2 linked regions of the Lepisosteus oculatus genome follow. The protein of the gene in region 2 purifies or fractionates together with the protein of the main gene of each other region. This does not show direct contact. Links are inferred from orthologs where the notes say so. Each region holds a gene or a part of one and is shown on either strand. Other genes may lie near its edges.

Evidence for each region. Proteins that work in one complex are often made in the same cells at the same time.
Region 1: the proteins of mrps27 (region 2) and noa1 purify together in Homo sapiens (co-immunoprecipitation; 3 studies listed by BioGRID and IntAct, counting the BioPlex papers as one, with this or other methods). This does not show direct contact. The link is inferred for Lepisosteus oculatus from reciprocal best matches to the Homo sapiens genes MRPS27 and NOA1.

What each region holds. Positions count from the first base shown.
Region 1 is NC_090696.1:33,267,079-33,274,774, reverse strand, and holds the start of noa1 (nitric oxide-associated protein 1), read right to left. Parts: upstream 3,075-7,696; 5' UTR 2,939-3,074; coding exon 1,684-2,938; intron 1,283-1,683; coding exon 1,118-1,282; intron 750-1,117; coding exon 538-749; intron 1-537. Other genes in the region: polr2b (DNA-directed RNA polymerase II subunit RPB2), read left to right, coding at 3,398-3,416, 4,442-4,514, 5,375-5,525, 5,724-5,836, 7,261-7,480. UniProt on the Homo sapiens protein: Involved in regulation of mitochondrial protein translation and respiration. Plays a role in mitochondria-mediated cell death. May act as a scaffolding protein or stabilizer of respiratory chain supercomplexes. Binds GTP.
Region 2 is NC_090698.1:24,318,054-24,325,999, reverse strand, and holds the start of mrps27 (small ribosomal subunit protein mS27), read left to right. Parts: upstream 1-4,934; 5' UTR 4,935-4,943; coding exon 4,944-5,019; intron 5,020-5,485; exon of another isoform or gene 5,486-5,613; intron 5,614-5,930; coding exon 5,931-6,008; intron 6,009-7,946. Other genes in the region: ptcd2 (pentatricopeptide repeat-containing protein 2, mitochondrial), read right to left, coding at 1,494-1,611, 2,417-2,546, 3,557-3,649, 4,579-4,714. UniProt on the Homo sapiens protein: RNA-binding component of the mitochondrial small ribosomal subunit (mt-SSU) that plays a role in mitochondrial protein synthesis. Stimulates mitochondrial mRNA translation of subunit components of the mitochondrial electron transport chain.

The DNA of each region.
Region 1 (7,696 bases), on a different chromosome or scaffold from region 2:
CCTTCCTACTTCCATGTTGACCTTGCTCAAGAAATCCACTGCTGTACAACTGAGCCACTAGTTCTAATTTCCAAACCCCTGCAAGTTCATAGTGTCTGAGAGCTATAACGCGTTGCCTGGTGTTCTGGATGACTACAAGAAAGAAGTCTGTACGTGGGTCTGATAGAGGCGACCTCTATGGGCACATATAAGGTTCTGAGGGGCATCTACATGGAAAAGGGAGCTGGAGTCAGTGTAGGACAATCAGTTTCCTCTGGGAAATAATCAAGCTTATCAGTACTAAAGCTTCCCATGTCTGCCTGGAATAAAAACAACTACAAGATGGCACATTTTAACTAATAGGGATAGCAATAACTGACCATGGGCACCAGCAGACAGTAAGTGTTTCAGTCAGAGAAGAGCTCTACATCTGACATGATGCTGCACTCATGACTCATGTCTGATTCAATATATTAGGTGCATGTAGTAATTATTCTGCAGCTAAGCACAAAGATTGCATTGGCTAAACGTACAATACGTTTTAGCAAAAGCACTCACACAGTGTTCTTTCATAATTCCCGGGGTGTCATACAGCCAATGCGCATCTTTGAGCTCGTTGTGGGTGAACTCCACTGGGTTGGAAAGAGCTGATTTTTTACTCATTCTGTCTTCTTCCTCCTCTCCCACACTGAGACTTTCTAGATCAAAATCCACAACATCCATATCTTTCTGCGCCTGGACAGCCGAGCCAAAAGATCTGCCAACTCGCCCTGAAATGAACAGGGAAGACAAATTCCTTGTCAACCGTGCAAGTGTGGCAACTCCACCCCCACAGGAAGTCTTTCATTGGGCTCTTGAAGAAATCAGGGTCATGGAGGAACAGGAATAGGTTTATTATTATAATTATGGGCTTGAAACCAGGCTGTGTTAAGGTACCAGATGCTGGAATGTAAGTTAAAGTGAGGACTGAGAGTTAAGGGGAGCATAGGGTTAGAGTTAAGAGTTTCACTGTGTCATTTAAGTTAGGGTTAAGGGGAAGTTTAGATTTAGTCACAGGGTTTTTATTCTGTCTCCTTTTAATTTATTCAGGCCTGAACAAATGTTGATCTGGTACTGTCATAGAAGTCAGAACTCTTACCTACTAAATATCCCTGCTTGCTGAGCTGCTGCAGTCGTCTTAACTCCTGTGGGCTCAGGTCCTTCTCTGACTGAGAGCCATCACTCTTCAGTCTCTCAGACCTCTTGAACATGCGATATGGAGTGGGGTTGATGATTGGGAACTTCAGGAGATTTAGTGTGGTGCCTCATGAAGAACAGATAGGTTAGTGTCTGCTTCCATCTGCAACAACCTAAAATATGACCACCTAACATGGGATAAATTTAGGTTTTGACAGATGGAAAACAATACTTTTCATACACTGAGCTGAGGGAATAGCGAAAGGTATTTCTTCCTCAATCATCAAAACATCTAGTGATTTAGACTGAGGTTTATTACACTGTTCATACAAAGACTTCACATAAACATATCCTAATAACTTGAACTTGGCACTGCAAGGCCTTTACTTAGACATATGGGCAGTTTCTCTGCAAATCATGCTAAACCTCACTGCATTATATAGTGCCTTCATAGGCTTCTACGACGAAAGAGAGCGGGTCTTCACTTTGCACTGGCCTGCAGCCTGGCAAATGTACAGTAATAATTACCTGGCCATCGAGATATGGTAGCTTTCTGAATCACATCTGGAGCTTTCGACTTGCAGTAGTCTGACTCCAGCAGGGTGTTAAACAGTGTAGACTTTCCAGCATTTGCTGTTCCAACCAAATACACATCTCCTTTATATTTCCACGATCTTTGAAGACTCGAAATTAGGTTTTCTATCCCATAGCCGGTCTTGGCGCTGATGAGATGGACGTCTTTGGTGCCATCGCCTAAAGTAATACCTGCGTCAACACAATATGCAAAAAGCTGACGTTTAATTCGTTTTAAATAGCAATCCGAATCGCCAGGTAGCAGATCTATTTTATTTCCCAGAACCACTATGGTTTTATTTTTGCCCACTAGTTCTAACAGATCTGGAATGATAGAATCGGGAATATCCAGAAGGTCCACAATGAACAATACCAAAGCTTTTTCTTGGCGTATCCGACTAACAACATTCCGATATTCTTCTTTCGAAACCTGAATATTTAAAGACTTTTGGTGATGGACAAGCAAGAAACATCGCTGACACACCGCTCTGTCCATCTTGTCCTCCTTTATTAGCTGTTTGTATTTCTCACTGGGTACATAACCGGGCAAAATCGGGTCAGTGCAATGCATACGAGCACCGCATCCCGAACAGCTGTTGTCACTAAAAGGAATCTCCTTATCTGGAGTGCCGTATATTTTTTGAGATTTTTTCCTTTTAGAAGTTAATTTAGGAAGGGGGAAGCCAGCGTCATGAAATTCTATATCCATTTCTTGTACGTCCTGGTCCTGGTCTAACACTGTATCTTCTAATAACCGCATCTGTATTTCCAAAGCTCTGTGATACACCTCTGTACACGACTTTCGCGATGCGTTTCTCTCTTTATTGGCCACAGACCCCATCTGCGAAGGGGGTTTGAAAGAAACCCCATCATCGTTCTCTTCCTCTAGGTTGGAGTAGTCTAGAAAGACGAATTCTTCTTCTTTTTCTGGTTCAATCGATGTGTAAGAGTTTCCAAGACGTCCCTGCTTTCCGCTGTCGCCGATTGCCGCTTGCGTTGTGCTGTAACAGCGGGCCACTGACGTCCACGTGTCTTCCAAGCAGAAGATCTTAAAAGTTGGCACTTTTCTACAGAGTCCTGGACAATTGCGTAGAATAGATGAACAGCGATTACCTTGTCTGTCCCCCAAAGTTGGTAAAAATACAGGAAACACATTCCGGGCGCAATAACAAGCAGGAGCACATTGCTTTAGTCGGTATAACCTCTGCATTTTTAATATAATTAAAAAAGAAATTATACTTGAAATATTTTTTTAAAGGTTACGTTTTTTCTTCTTAGTTGAACCTTGAATGGCAAATAATAACATACACATGTGGTGCGTCTAGGAGTCTTCCATTTTTAGTACTCTGACTCCTGTGACGTATATGATTACCACATCAAACCATCCGAAATTATTATTAATAATTATTATCACGATTCTCTTTGTATTATTATTGAGAATATCAATTACAATTAACATATTTCTGGTGGTTCAATTATTTTAAAATGTTTCGTTTGACGTCACGAAAGCCTGCAGGAAGTGACGTATACACCATCGATATCTCGTACTGTTGTGTTCAGGTGGTGTGGATGGAAGTAGAGGGTTATAGCGCACTTATTTTTAATTCAACGTATTTGTAAGTGTTTTTTTTTCTTTTGGAGTCAATAAAGGAAGTACCTTCAATCCAATATGTATGATCAAGATGAAGGTAGGTATCTGGTTTGTTTAGTTCTTTTTTTAAACAATATTTTGAACATGGCGTCAGGGTACGTTCTTTGATTTTTGGTCTGTATTGTACAGAGGTGTCTTATAAATGCAAAATGAATTGTGCCATTAACTCTGACACGTTTAACGACATCTGTTATTTAGATTTTGTGCATCCTGAAGTTTGTTTTAGAAATATTGTGCTTCGTTTTCAACATTCTCAGTCTAAACCGTTCGTATTTACAGTCACTTTCAGCACATGAGTTCTAAATTTGTATTTTGAAATGCATTCAACAGGCGAGAGCTTTACATCCAAATAGGGAAGGTGATTTTCCAAAAAGCTTTTGGCATTTCAGTTTTATCAAGAAACGCCAGAAAATGAAATCGGAGGAACGGTAATTAGTTCATGGTGGTTCTAACATCTCATTTTGCGTACCACTGTCCTTAGGAATTAAAAACGTGGCCTTTTCTTTAATGTTCGAAAAGGTTGCAGAGTAGCAAACGTTATAAAAGTCAATTTCGGTGAAGTTAACAGATGCCTCCTGATGTATTAGTCTAAGTTCTGTCTTTCGACAAACAATCACACTCGTGTCGCCATTGTAACAAAGCTGCTTCAGAGAGGGCAGGTTATTGAGGAGAATAAAGATTTTTTGCTCCTTTTATCCTTGATCATGCCTTTAGGAAGTGGAATGAAGCAAAGTGCCTGGAGAAAATTCATATGTGTACATGCAGTGCGATCAACTCTGCATAGGCGGCACGCTGTCTCCAGAGCTGTGAGATAGCAGGTCCAAGTACCATGTCTCTTGAAAAGCTTTTTACCACGCATGTAGTGTAAAAACAGTTTCTGTGAAAATCAAATGCATTAAGGGCCATCTTACCTTTCTTTGTTAGTTTCATATGCAGCAAGCTTTCTTCCTGTAGAAGGTAACTGCCTGTGAATAATACTTTTTTAGGGGGAAGTCCAAAGAGAGCATAATATTTTATGTGGATGGGGCTCCCTTAATATTACAATTCTGTGGTCTTGTTTAGATATTCAGTATGATGAAGATGACGATGAGATCACTCCAGACTTGTGGCAGGAAGCCTGCTGGATTGTCATCAGGTGAGCAGCCTAAAAAATATAACATATTAACCACCTTCACCTTTTAGGGTTATCTTTTGATTTTATTGATCTTATTTTTGACTTAATACTCACATTTCAACATTCTTCTGTGCTGTAAAAGTCCAGCCCTGGTCCCAGTGACGTACAACCCAGCAGATTTTGAATGTCACCATTAGTTTTCCTACAAACAATTGTAAAGACTTGAGAACTGAAATGAATAATTTCAGTTTTGTTCATTTTTTAAAGCTACACAGTTTAAAGGTTGGTCATTCCTGATTTAGTTGAACCAGTTACCTGACTAAACTGATCACAGTCCACATGTTGCAGGTCCTTACAAAGATATAATTTAAGGATGACCTATAAGACCTACTTGATTGTGGCTCTCCACTGCAAAAGTTGAACTGTTTTTCATTTTGTTTTAAGTGTGTCCCCTTATATATTCATATATATGTTTGTCTGTTTATGTCCAGTCAAGTTCTATCCTGCTTTTTTAAAAAAGCACATTTTTTTTCTGATACAGATATACAAAGTTAAAAACATTTCTGGTAAAGGGTTTCACAGATTTGGCTGTAATGAATCAGAATGTATTTAAAGTTCTAAAACAGAAGGAAATGTTGGGCTTTAATGAAGATAGTCTATAGTTCACTGTCATTCTTAACATTGCAAGCTGCAGTTTGTCTGATGCAGTCAGCATTCTTCCTTTCTGTGCAGTTATTCTGACCTATATCTATAGAAGCAGTAGTGATCATCTCCTGTAATGCAGATCTTCAAAGCAAATTCAGCCCAGGTTTTTTTCCACATTTGGGGCACAAAGGGGGAGAATGGTATTAGTAATGGATGGCCTGTTCTTGTCTTCGTAGTTCTTATTTTGATGAAAAGGGTTTGGTGAGGCAGCAGCTGGACTCTTTCGATGAGTTCATCCAGATGTCAGTACAGAGGATTGTGGAGGATGCCCCACCCATCGACCTGCAGGCTGAGGCCCAGCACACCTCTGGAGAAGTGGAGGAGCCCGTGAGTCTCTCGACGGCTTGAAAAGATTTTTCCGGCATGTGACCCCAAGCAGTCTGAAAGTGTAGTGATATGTATTGATGCACAGATACGTCTGATTAATTGGTGCAGGGGGCGGTTTGCCCACAGTAGGGGCGATTTCTGTGAAATCAATGGGTGGATTTTGCATGTTTATCACCTCTTGTCATCTTTTCGTTCTAGCCACGTTACCTGCTGAAGTTTGAGCAGATTTATCTTTCCAAACCTACGCACTGGGAGAGAGATGGAGCTCCTTCTCCTATGATGCCAAATGAAGCTAGACTCCGAAATCTTACGTAAGTTGAGCTTTACATTGTTGTGTTGCTCCCTATTCTGATGCGATCCCCCACATTGTTTAGTTTTGTCCATTGCTGTTGCAGAAATGTGCTTCACACCAGGGTTTTTTTGAGAGCTAGAGCAGCATTGTGCAGCAGGGGTTAGGTCTCTGAAACTGGAAGGTTAAACTCCAGCTGAGACAGTGCTGTTTGTACCTTTGACCAAAGGAATTCACCTGAAGTACTCCAATAACAATACCTGGCTTTGATATTTTTCCATTTTAAAATAAAGTTGGACACTGGGCTCCTCATTTCTGGTCTACCTTCTAAAATAACGTTTCTCCCATCACAATATCAATTTCTGGATAATTTATTTCTCTTATTAAGGGAATGTATTTTAACCAACTGGTTTAAGAAAAACACCCTCTGTTACATTTTGGTATGGTGAATGTTGTAGTGTACTGCCCTATGGAAGGCTTAGTGCAGTTTCCATAGGAGAACAGAAGATCATAAACTATGGTCACCTGTTACAGAGTATTTGCCAGTGGCATTAACAGAATTGTTGCTTAAGGGTCAGTGAGTATGAAAGTGAATCCCTCTGTGGGTTCCCCAAACTGAGGGAGGAGGGGTTAGGGTGGATGGTGGGGGGATGACTGAATGTGGAGGAGAGGACAGGATGGATGTCACTAGTTGAAGACTGGAGATAATTTTTTTATCTTTATCTTTCTTTTATTGTATACTATTTCATGGTGGATTTTTTTCTTCTCTTAATCTTATTGTTTTTCAATGATGGATGGTATTTGAATTTTGTTGGAAAATTAATAAAAGGATGTAAAAATACCCAGTTTTGAGTTCCATTGTAAATTGGTTTGGTTTAAAGGGTCAGTCGGATAAAAATGAGTAGAGAGTAAAGAGTACTACCTTTGGAGAAGGTGTGCATGAACTGACATCAGGTGTTCGAAGGATAGCAAGTGGCCGACTTCACAGCTGGTCACGAGTGATTAGTTTACGTAAATGACTAGTATAAACTGTTAACCTAGTGGAGTGTATGTGTCCTTTCTTTTGCGTTCCTTATCTTGATATGAAATTCAAGTCAGACCCAAAACATTGCTGTGTTTGTATCGTACAAAACACTGGGGTTTGGCACATTGTCCTGGCCAAATTTCATCCTGGCCTTTACCAGTCATACCCTCCTAATAATCCCTATCTCTGACTTCATCACTTTGTTCTCCTCCCCACTGATAGCTGGTGTGTGCTGGGTGTACTGGTGCACTATGTTTGCTATTGCATCATCCAGATGGGTGCTGCACATTGGTGGTGGTGGAGGGGAGTTCTCATTACCTGTAAAGCTCTTTGAGTGGAGTGGCCAGAAAAGCGCTATATAAGTGTAAGCAATTATTATCTTCTGAATCTATTGATGTTCACAAATTTTTTTCCTGGCTCAGGTACTCTGCTCCTCTCTATGTGGACATCACCAAAACCATCATCAAGGAAGGGGAGGAGCAGCTGCAGACGCAGCACCAGAAAACCTTCATCGGAAAGATTCCCATCATGCTGCGCTCCACCTACTGCTTACTCAGTGGGCTGACAGACCGTGATCTCTGTGAGCTTAATGAGTGTCCCCTGGACCCGGGAGGCTATTTCATCATTAACGGATCAGAAAAGGTAAAAGGAATAATCCTGTCCAGCTGAGCACAGCCGATGGACAGACATTTCATGTGAAGTGGTGTTTTACAAAGATTTTCATACTCTATAACAGCAATAGGGACACCTTTAGTCAAGTCTTTGGCATCGGTCAGAAGTATTTAATGTTTTAATTGTTAATAAAAATCTGCAGATTTTCCAAAAAAAAACATTGTAGATTGTCTGGTTAGCTTCTTT
Region 2 (7,946 bases):
TTGAACAGATTCCAGAAAAACAAACCTAATGTAAAACTGTAAAGAATAAATTCCTAAATTGATAAATAAATCTCAGGATTACAGTGAAAAAATGGTTGGTGAAAACTGAAGTATCTCTCACCATGTTGTTCTTATGTCTGAAGAAAAATGTTTGGAAGTGAACAGTTTCTTAAACTGACCTTGTTAGTGTTACTTACTATTTTAGTTTGCCTATCGCTCTCTCTAGAGAGAAATCATTTACAGCTGTGTTTTTTTTTTAAATGGAACATTAAGACATTATATAAAATATATACCCTCTTTATATACTGTACATCTTTTAATTTTTTTTTCCTGTTGAATGAAAGCAACTGTCCAAGAAGTAACCATTTATAAACAACAGCTCCCTCTGTTGGTTATCATGATGACAAATTGCGATAATCTTTTAAACAGACATCTTGCAAAAAAGATTCCACTTCTCTTGAGATGGAAATTATATCTATTGGTTGAGGAAGCTGCATTTTGAGTTAGTTTAAAATATTTTAAACCAGAATATTGAATAAACGGATGGCACAGAGGCACAGTGGTTAGCATTGCTGCCTCTCAAACCTGGGGCCCTGGGTTCAATTCCATACCTGGGGTCATGTCTGCATGGAGTTTGTATGTTCTTTCTATATTCACGTGGGTTTTCTCACACAGCCCAAAGACATACTGGTAGGTTAACTGGCTTCTGGGAAAAGTGGCCCTGGATTTAGTATGTGTTTCTGTGTGTGCTCTGTGATGGACTGGCATTCTTAAAATGAGTGACGCTACCAGAAAATAGCTGAATGGATCATATTCAAGTAAATAACATTCAATATGTGCGAGAACTAAACTACAATGACAAACAATATAAAGATACCACAGGAAATGCATACAGTTGTTCCTTGTTACACTGCCAAGACTTACAAAGGCATTAAAGGTACTGATAAACTAGGATAGGTATGATAAATGGGGCAGTTTATAGATGATGCAAGAATGTTCTAGAAGAAAATAGAAATATGAGAAGCTGGTGTTATAATAAGACAAATGAACCGCATAATAGAGATTTTGAAAAAATAGTTTGAGACAATGATTCATTAAGACACTGAAATTTACACTACAAATTCACTAAACAAATCCATTAATATTCAGTGACATAGCACAGAAGTACACAGCTTAATGACCATTTTAAATGAATACAATTTAGTGATTTACAGCATACTAAAAACTATACTGCAAAGGGATGAAAATATCCAGTTCCATACAAAATGTAGGGTGCAGTACAGAGCAACATGGTCTTGTGAACATTTATAAATGACTCACCGAGTTTGAAGTAAAAAAATCCTGCAAGCAATATATTTAAAAAAATAAATACTTTGGAGACCATGTAGAAATTGATCAGGATAATAACAGCATGAATTCACATGGTGGTGATGATTAAGAAACATATGAAGAGCTGAGGAATATGTAATCTGGGTTTCTAATGAAAGGTTCACCTCATCTTTTATGAGCTCAGCTGCAGTTTCTTCTAAACCCAACTCATAGCACAGTCGTACAAAGACAGGTCCAAACTTGAATTCTCCAAAAGCAAAATTTCTGTTCTCATTATGGTACCTAGAAGAGAAAAAGCAAACCATAACACAGAAAAAATAAGCTCAGTTAGCTTACAAGTGTACTAAATTTTCAAGACATGATGAACCAGTATTTGTCTTATTTTTGCCATTTTGCTCTACAGTATTGTTTTTTCCTAGAAAAACAAATCAAACAACCGTGTTTAAATATCTTGTCACGTCTTAAAAGACAGGTTTGGTCAACCCAAACAAAGCTAATAAAAAGCCTTGTATATCACCTATTCTTTAGTAAGCCTTACTTGACCCCTGAAAATAAAAAACTTTCAAGTTTGCTCGGAACTGCTGACACTGAAATTGGATTTTTTTTGCCTGGGAGAGAAAAACTGCATTCCTTCATTCCTCAAAAGGACACTTTTATGTAAATGTGATGATCTGTATTATTACAACACCCATTAATTTGGAATTGTGACTCATATCAATTATAGTCATCTTATATATTTTATTTGAATTTGCGTTTGTTCAGTATATATTAACTCACATTTTCTTATGGAACTAGACAATTACACTTACCCATACAATTAAGAGGCCAATAAGATATGTTCTCTTCTTCAAACAAACTAAAATGGGGTAAATCATAAGCAGTATCATTTCCTAAATACAAAGATCCAAGTTTTGTTTTCACAATTAAGGGGTGATGTTATAGTAATTCTTTTCAATGTTTTTCTTTTCTTTGAACCTTTCCAATTAATTTGTATGCAAAAAGCACAGGTTTTCTGAGATTTTAGATGGCAGCAATCCAGTGCTACCCTTTCAGCATCTGTGATAAATAACTTTCCTCAGGCACTTACTTGTATATTACATTCTTTGCCATTTCTACATCATCCGGGGTTTGGCACAGATGCAAGAGCATTTTTAATTCATCTTTCAGAATGAGGTCATTTCGTTGTATCTTTTGTTCTAACTTCTGAAAATACTGTTCTGAAAAATAATGAAGCACAAAAAAGCAAAAGTGAATCAATTTTGTTGGATATGAGAGTGTTTCAATAAATAAGGCAACAAAAGCTCTCAAAGTGATGCATTTATGTGTAGACAGCTACAAGTATATCCAACGCTAACTCTAATTTGTGATGCGTATTCCAGCCTTGCCATGCAGGCTAGTTTTGTTGAGTGGTCGGGATATTATTGACATATCAACTCTGAAAGTCGTTAGTCACCTCACTAGTTTCCTCTCGCCCAGGTACTGAGTTCGTCCAGTTAGTGACTTGGTTTTAGAATACACCTTCAATGTCAACATTTAGTATTTTTGAAAGTTTTTACATCTTTCTCCTAAGATTTTGCACAACTTTATCCCTAAAATGTATCTCAAATCACTTTGGCTTTCATAGATGAATCTATGATTCTATGAAGTCTGAGGGATCTTTTAGAGCCTGGTGTATTTATTCTGAAATCACATGAACCATGATTACTGCACCCAGAGGCCAGTCAAATATCTGTGACTTGCCAAAGTAATATAGTGTTCACCTGAACTTATATATATATAATATAGGTTTGCCATAGCAAATAGGTGAATACTTTATATTTCACTAATATTATCATAATAAATCAATATTTTCATTTTTGTTTTTTTTCTGCACAGATTTGTTGACATTTAATGTTGTTCAGCAATAAAAGTGTCCAGCTTAAGCTTTGAAGTTCTGATTAACATGTTAACTTAGATGTGTATCCATCACTTGTAAAACAAAACAGGAATAAATGGGAGAATACTTCTGCGAGGCATTCTAATTATTGCTACTCGCCTACTGTATATTAAAATGAAATAAATTAAACAGTAAGAAATAACTATTTAAAATGCAATAATAAATTCTTATGTGTAAAAGTGTACAAAGTACAGTAGAAAGAACACCCTGCGCCAAAAGGAAAGGCAGTAACTTGGATCCAATGCAAGAAATCTTTAATCCCTGTCTGAAGATTCCTAGTATAATAGTTACCTTTATTGCCATACGTCTGGTGAGCAACTGCTATTTTTCTTTGTTGGAATTCTTGTAGTCGTATAACATCCTCTGACAATAAGTACCGTTTTGCTGCAGATATAAATTAAATTATAATACAAAAGATTAGAATGTAGTTATTTAACATTGACTACAACAATGAAAATCCTAAATAATATCTTATCAGTGATATTTGTTTAAAAAAAATCAATTTTACATTATTCAATAGTTGTTTTACTTTTTACTTTATATGGCCCAAATGTCCACTACTGACTTGACTGAAAAGATAACAAAATGGATCCAGAATGGTATATGATGTTTTTTTTCTTCTACTGCTTTTGAGCCAACTTGATTTGTGCTCTCAAATGGTGCTAGGTTTTTCTAACCTTTTTTGTGACTAAATGAATACAAGGGAGAATTTGAGAAGTTATCTAGAGAGCTGAAAAGATGGCCTAATAATGTACCTGTAGTTTGGGCATATCTGAGAACCCCAGGATAACATATGGGATAAGCAGGGTGGAAACTTTCAGAGATGTAATATTAATACTGTGAATACACAGTTGTACCACTACAGTGGGAAATACACCACATTACCCTAGATGATCAGCCTGCTACTCATCAGTTTGTCATGGTACATTTACTGTTAACAACAGAAAAAGATACACTATGCACAGTATGGCATAATTTCCAATTACGCATACAAATTGCAAAATTGGGTTGATGATTTACAAAATTACAATACAATTTGACTTGGATCTAGCTTTGAACAGTAAGACTGGGAATGCAGTCTTCTTGAATGTAAGAAAGCAGATATATCACCTACTGTCTAAGGAACACGAAAACAACTGGCAATACTAAAAATTCTTAAAATCTCTCCTACGAAACAAATTTAAATTGCGTACTCTTCAGACGTTTATCTGATACGTATATACATACGTTGAAACAATAACTGCAGTCGTACAGCAAGTTCGAGTTCAGCCAAACACACATTACACATAGTGTTAACTTAAGAGTTTCAATACCGTAAAAAGATGTAAATGACGTACCGCCTAACCTGCAAGTCCAGCATTCTGATGGTTTTAAACCAGAATGAAAAGCTTTGCGTTTGACATTGCATAATAGATTCCTTAAACAAACCCCCATCTCTCTCAACGCCATGCTGTTATGTGACTGAACCAATTATTTACAGGGGGTGACACACTTTATTTAAACGATCCGAGAAAGAAAAAAAACACATTTTACATTCAAAAACTTCGTGGATATTCATGTTTTTTATCAAATGTAGTTATTTATTTTTGATATGTACATTTCTGTAGCTGTCATGAGCCACCTATTTTTAAAAGGTCATTTACACCCTTTACGTCATCAAAAATTGCTTCATTCCAAAATGGCTGCTTCCATGTTACAACGCTGTGTTTTGTCTACAAGGTGCTTAACAAAGTATGCAACACAAAGTTTAACAGGTAATATAGGGAATTAAATCAGCTACAATGGTAGCGTTGATCTTTTTCATACTGCTTCTTATTTTAGATTTTCAATGTCAGATTATTGCTGGTAGTTGCCTAGCTGTCATAGTGACAGTCCTTTTACCAAGTAGTAAAGGCGTCTGTACCCCAGAGGTTAATAATTTATTAACTGAAGTGTTCGTTTAGGTTTTTTAATACTGGTTGATAAGGATGATAGATTTGCATGCGGTTAGGGAAAGATCAAGGATACGTGTTATTTTCTGTGTGCAATGCAGCACCAGGTAACGTTCAATGCTGTGCGATGTTCAACGCTTAGCCGTCTCTTGGACTGCCTCATTCGCCTTCATTGATGATGTAACTAGTGATGGCAGCAGTAGAATAAACTCTGAAGTTTACAGAAACATTTCTGCGTTACATTTAAAATTGGTCAGTCAACAACAATTGGTCAGACAAGTCAGTCTCCAAATTTAAATGTAACGGACCGCGTATTTTACACGATCAAGGAAAAAAGTAAATACTGTACATCGGAACATTGGCAAGAGCCCAAAGTAACTGCAACAGAACATCTCAGACATGTGCTAAAAAAATCTGGTGAGTTCAATGCGTCACCAGTTTAATGCAGTTTTTGTCAGAAAGGGATATGCAACAAAATTACTTGCACCCAATGTCTCAAATTTACTTTAGGTAACCTGAAATCTCTGTGTTGAACGCAAAATATGTTTTTGTTCTGATGTGATTGATCAGTGCAACTATCTAAAAACAAAATGTTCCAAATATTGTATTTATCATTCATATTAACCTTATGATCACAAATTGCTTAACTTTAAATGCAAAAGTAACAGCTGTGTCTTTGTTTCCCAGTACCTTTTTGAGGATACTTGTGTTATATTGTCCTTTTGTTCTTCTAGCTAGAAGATACCTTTTGTCACCGGCATACACAGATACTGCAAAATGGGAAGGGAGACGGAAAGACCCTCAAAACCTGGGTATGTTCAAGCAATGTTACACTTCCTGAAACTCAAATTAAACTTGGGTACAAAATGTAACAGATAATTAATTTTTGCTATCAATATTTCAGCTGATTTTTTCCTGCAATCCATTAAGCAAAAACATCGACCTTTGGTGCATTTTCTGTTAACATTCCATTTCTTTGTTAAATGTACAGTATCTTATGATATGAAATATAGCGTAAGATCATTGTATATTTTATTTGTAGCGATTTTACCTACAATACTGTGTCATAGCTGCAGTAAAAGACATAGGTGGAAAGGTTTTAGGATTATCCTTTACTGTACATGCATAAATAGGAGATTAAAATGAAAACAGAAGGTACAATATACGTTTCTTACAAGTTACCTTGTAATCGTATTCACTGACACATTTCATCCTAGAAAAAATATATTTTTGTTGTGAGAATGACCCTTATACATACTTGCTCTCAACCTTAATTACTTAAATTAGAAAGAAAAATTGAGGGGCTGTTTGTCCTGTCCTCTAACTTCAGCCCCATTGAAATGTTGCATAATGTGTGTGACAAGAAAGTGAAAAAGAAGAGTTTAATTAGCATAAATATAATTTAACCAGGGAGATGTCTGGAGGAAATTGATCAATGTTAAGAAAGTAACCACACACTCAGAAAATGGTTTAAAAAAATTAATCCATTTATATCTGCATAATAGACAGCACCAAGTTTGTTGAAAACGAATGGATTATTACAGAGCAAGAAAATGATGGCCAGCTTGTTCACAATAGTAAAGATCTCTTTGCCAGGACTGAGCGAGACAACACCCATTGCAAATACTTTTACATCACCATAAGTCAAAACATGTGTCAATCATCATCTCTGCATCGTTAAAATGATTTGAATGGGATATGAAGTCTTTCTTTTGCTATGTAGAACTAAATTGAAAAAAAAAATCATATAGTGCAATTTCTTTGTTGTCAACCTTAATTTTAACCAGTAGCTTTATAAGTTATACATGTAGTTGAAAATGGAATAGCCAATTATTTGTATTACTGTATATGAACGCTCAGGTTTGAATTTTCAGATCTTATGGCATCCTGCTTGCCATACTAAAAGGAATGTAAACATTTTCCGCTGTGTGCACATCTCCTGGTCACCAACAGAGGGCAGCATTGCCTTGCACAAAGGATAGATTGAAAGCACCAGTCCTGGTCCTGGAGAGCTGCTGTATCTGTGGGTTTTCATTACAGATTGGTTCTGAATAAACTAAACCAGCTGGTTATTATCTTAACTGGGCCAATTTAAGAGCTTCTCCCAGCTATCCAGGTGCTTCTGCTTTAAAACACCAATCCCACACAGTTTCCTATTTTGTAAATATTTTTAATTCTGAGTGCACTATTCTGCTTTTCTCATCTAATTTTTAATTAACTCGAGAATATCAAAATTTCCTGCAGCAGAAATGTAGACACCTGCTAAGAATTGAAGCAGTCAGTACCTGCTCATTAACCCCACACTTACTTTCAAAGTGCTATGCTAATAAAAAGGCAAAACCATAACGATAATGCCTACAAGGGTCTGATTTTGAGTTCCTTGTTGTCTTTAGCTTTCTTTATGCGATAATTAACTCACCTTTTCTCCTCTACCTATCAAAATTGGCATCATTTGCTCACCCAACAGGTTTCTCCATGATGACTGTATTGCTGTCCAAACACTATCTGACCTTCAGTTTTCTGTTTTTTTCACCAGTGAATTTCATCATTCTGTAAAATGAGGCCCTCTGCAAACATACTTAGAAGCATGGAAACAAAATGACATCACCATAAAATATTGCAATATATAATGTATGCAGCGATTCAGGAAACATGACAGACATTTTTAAGAACATTCTCCAAACTCCTGCTTCTAACACAAGCCAGGTTCGGGCTTTTCACAAGATTATTAATCTGCAAGAAAGTCCAAT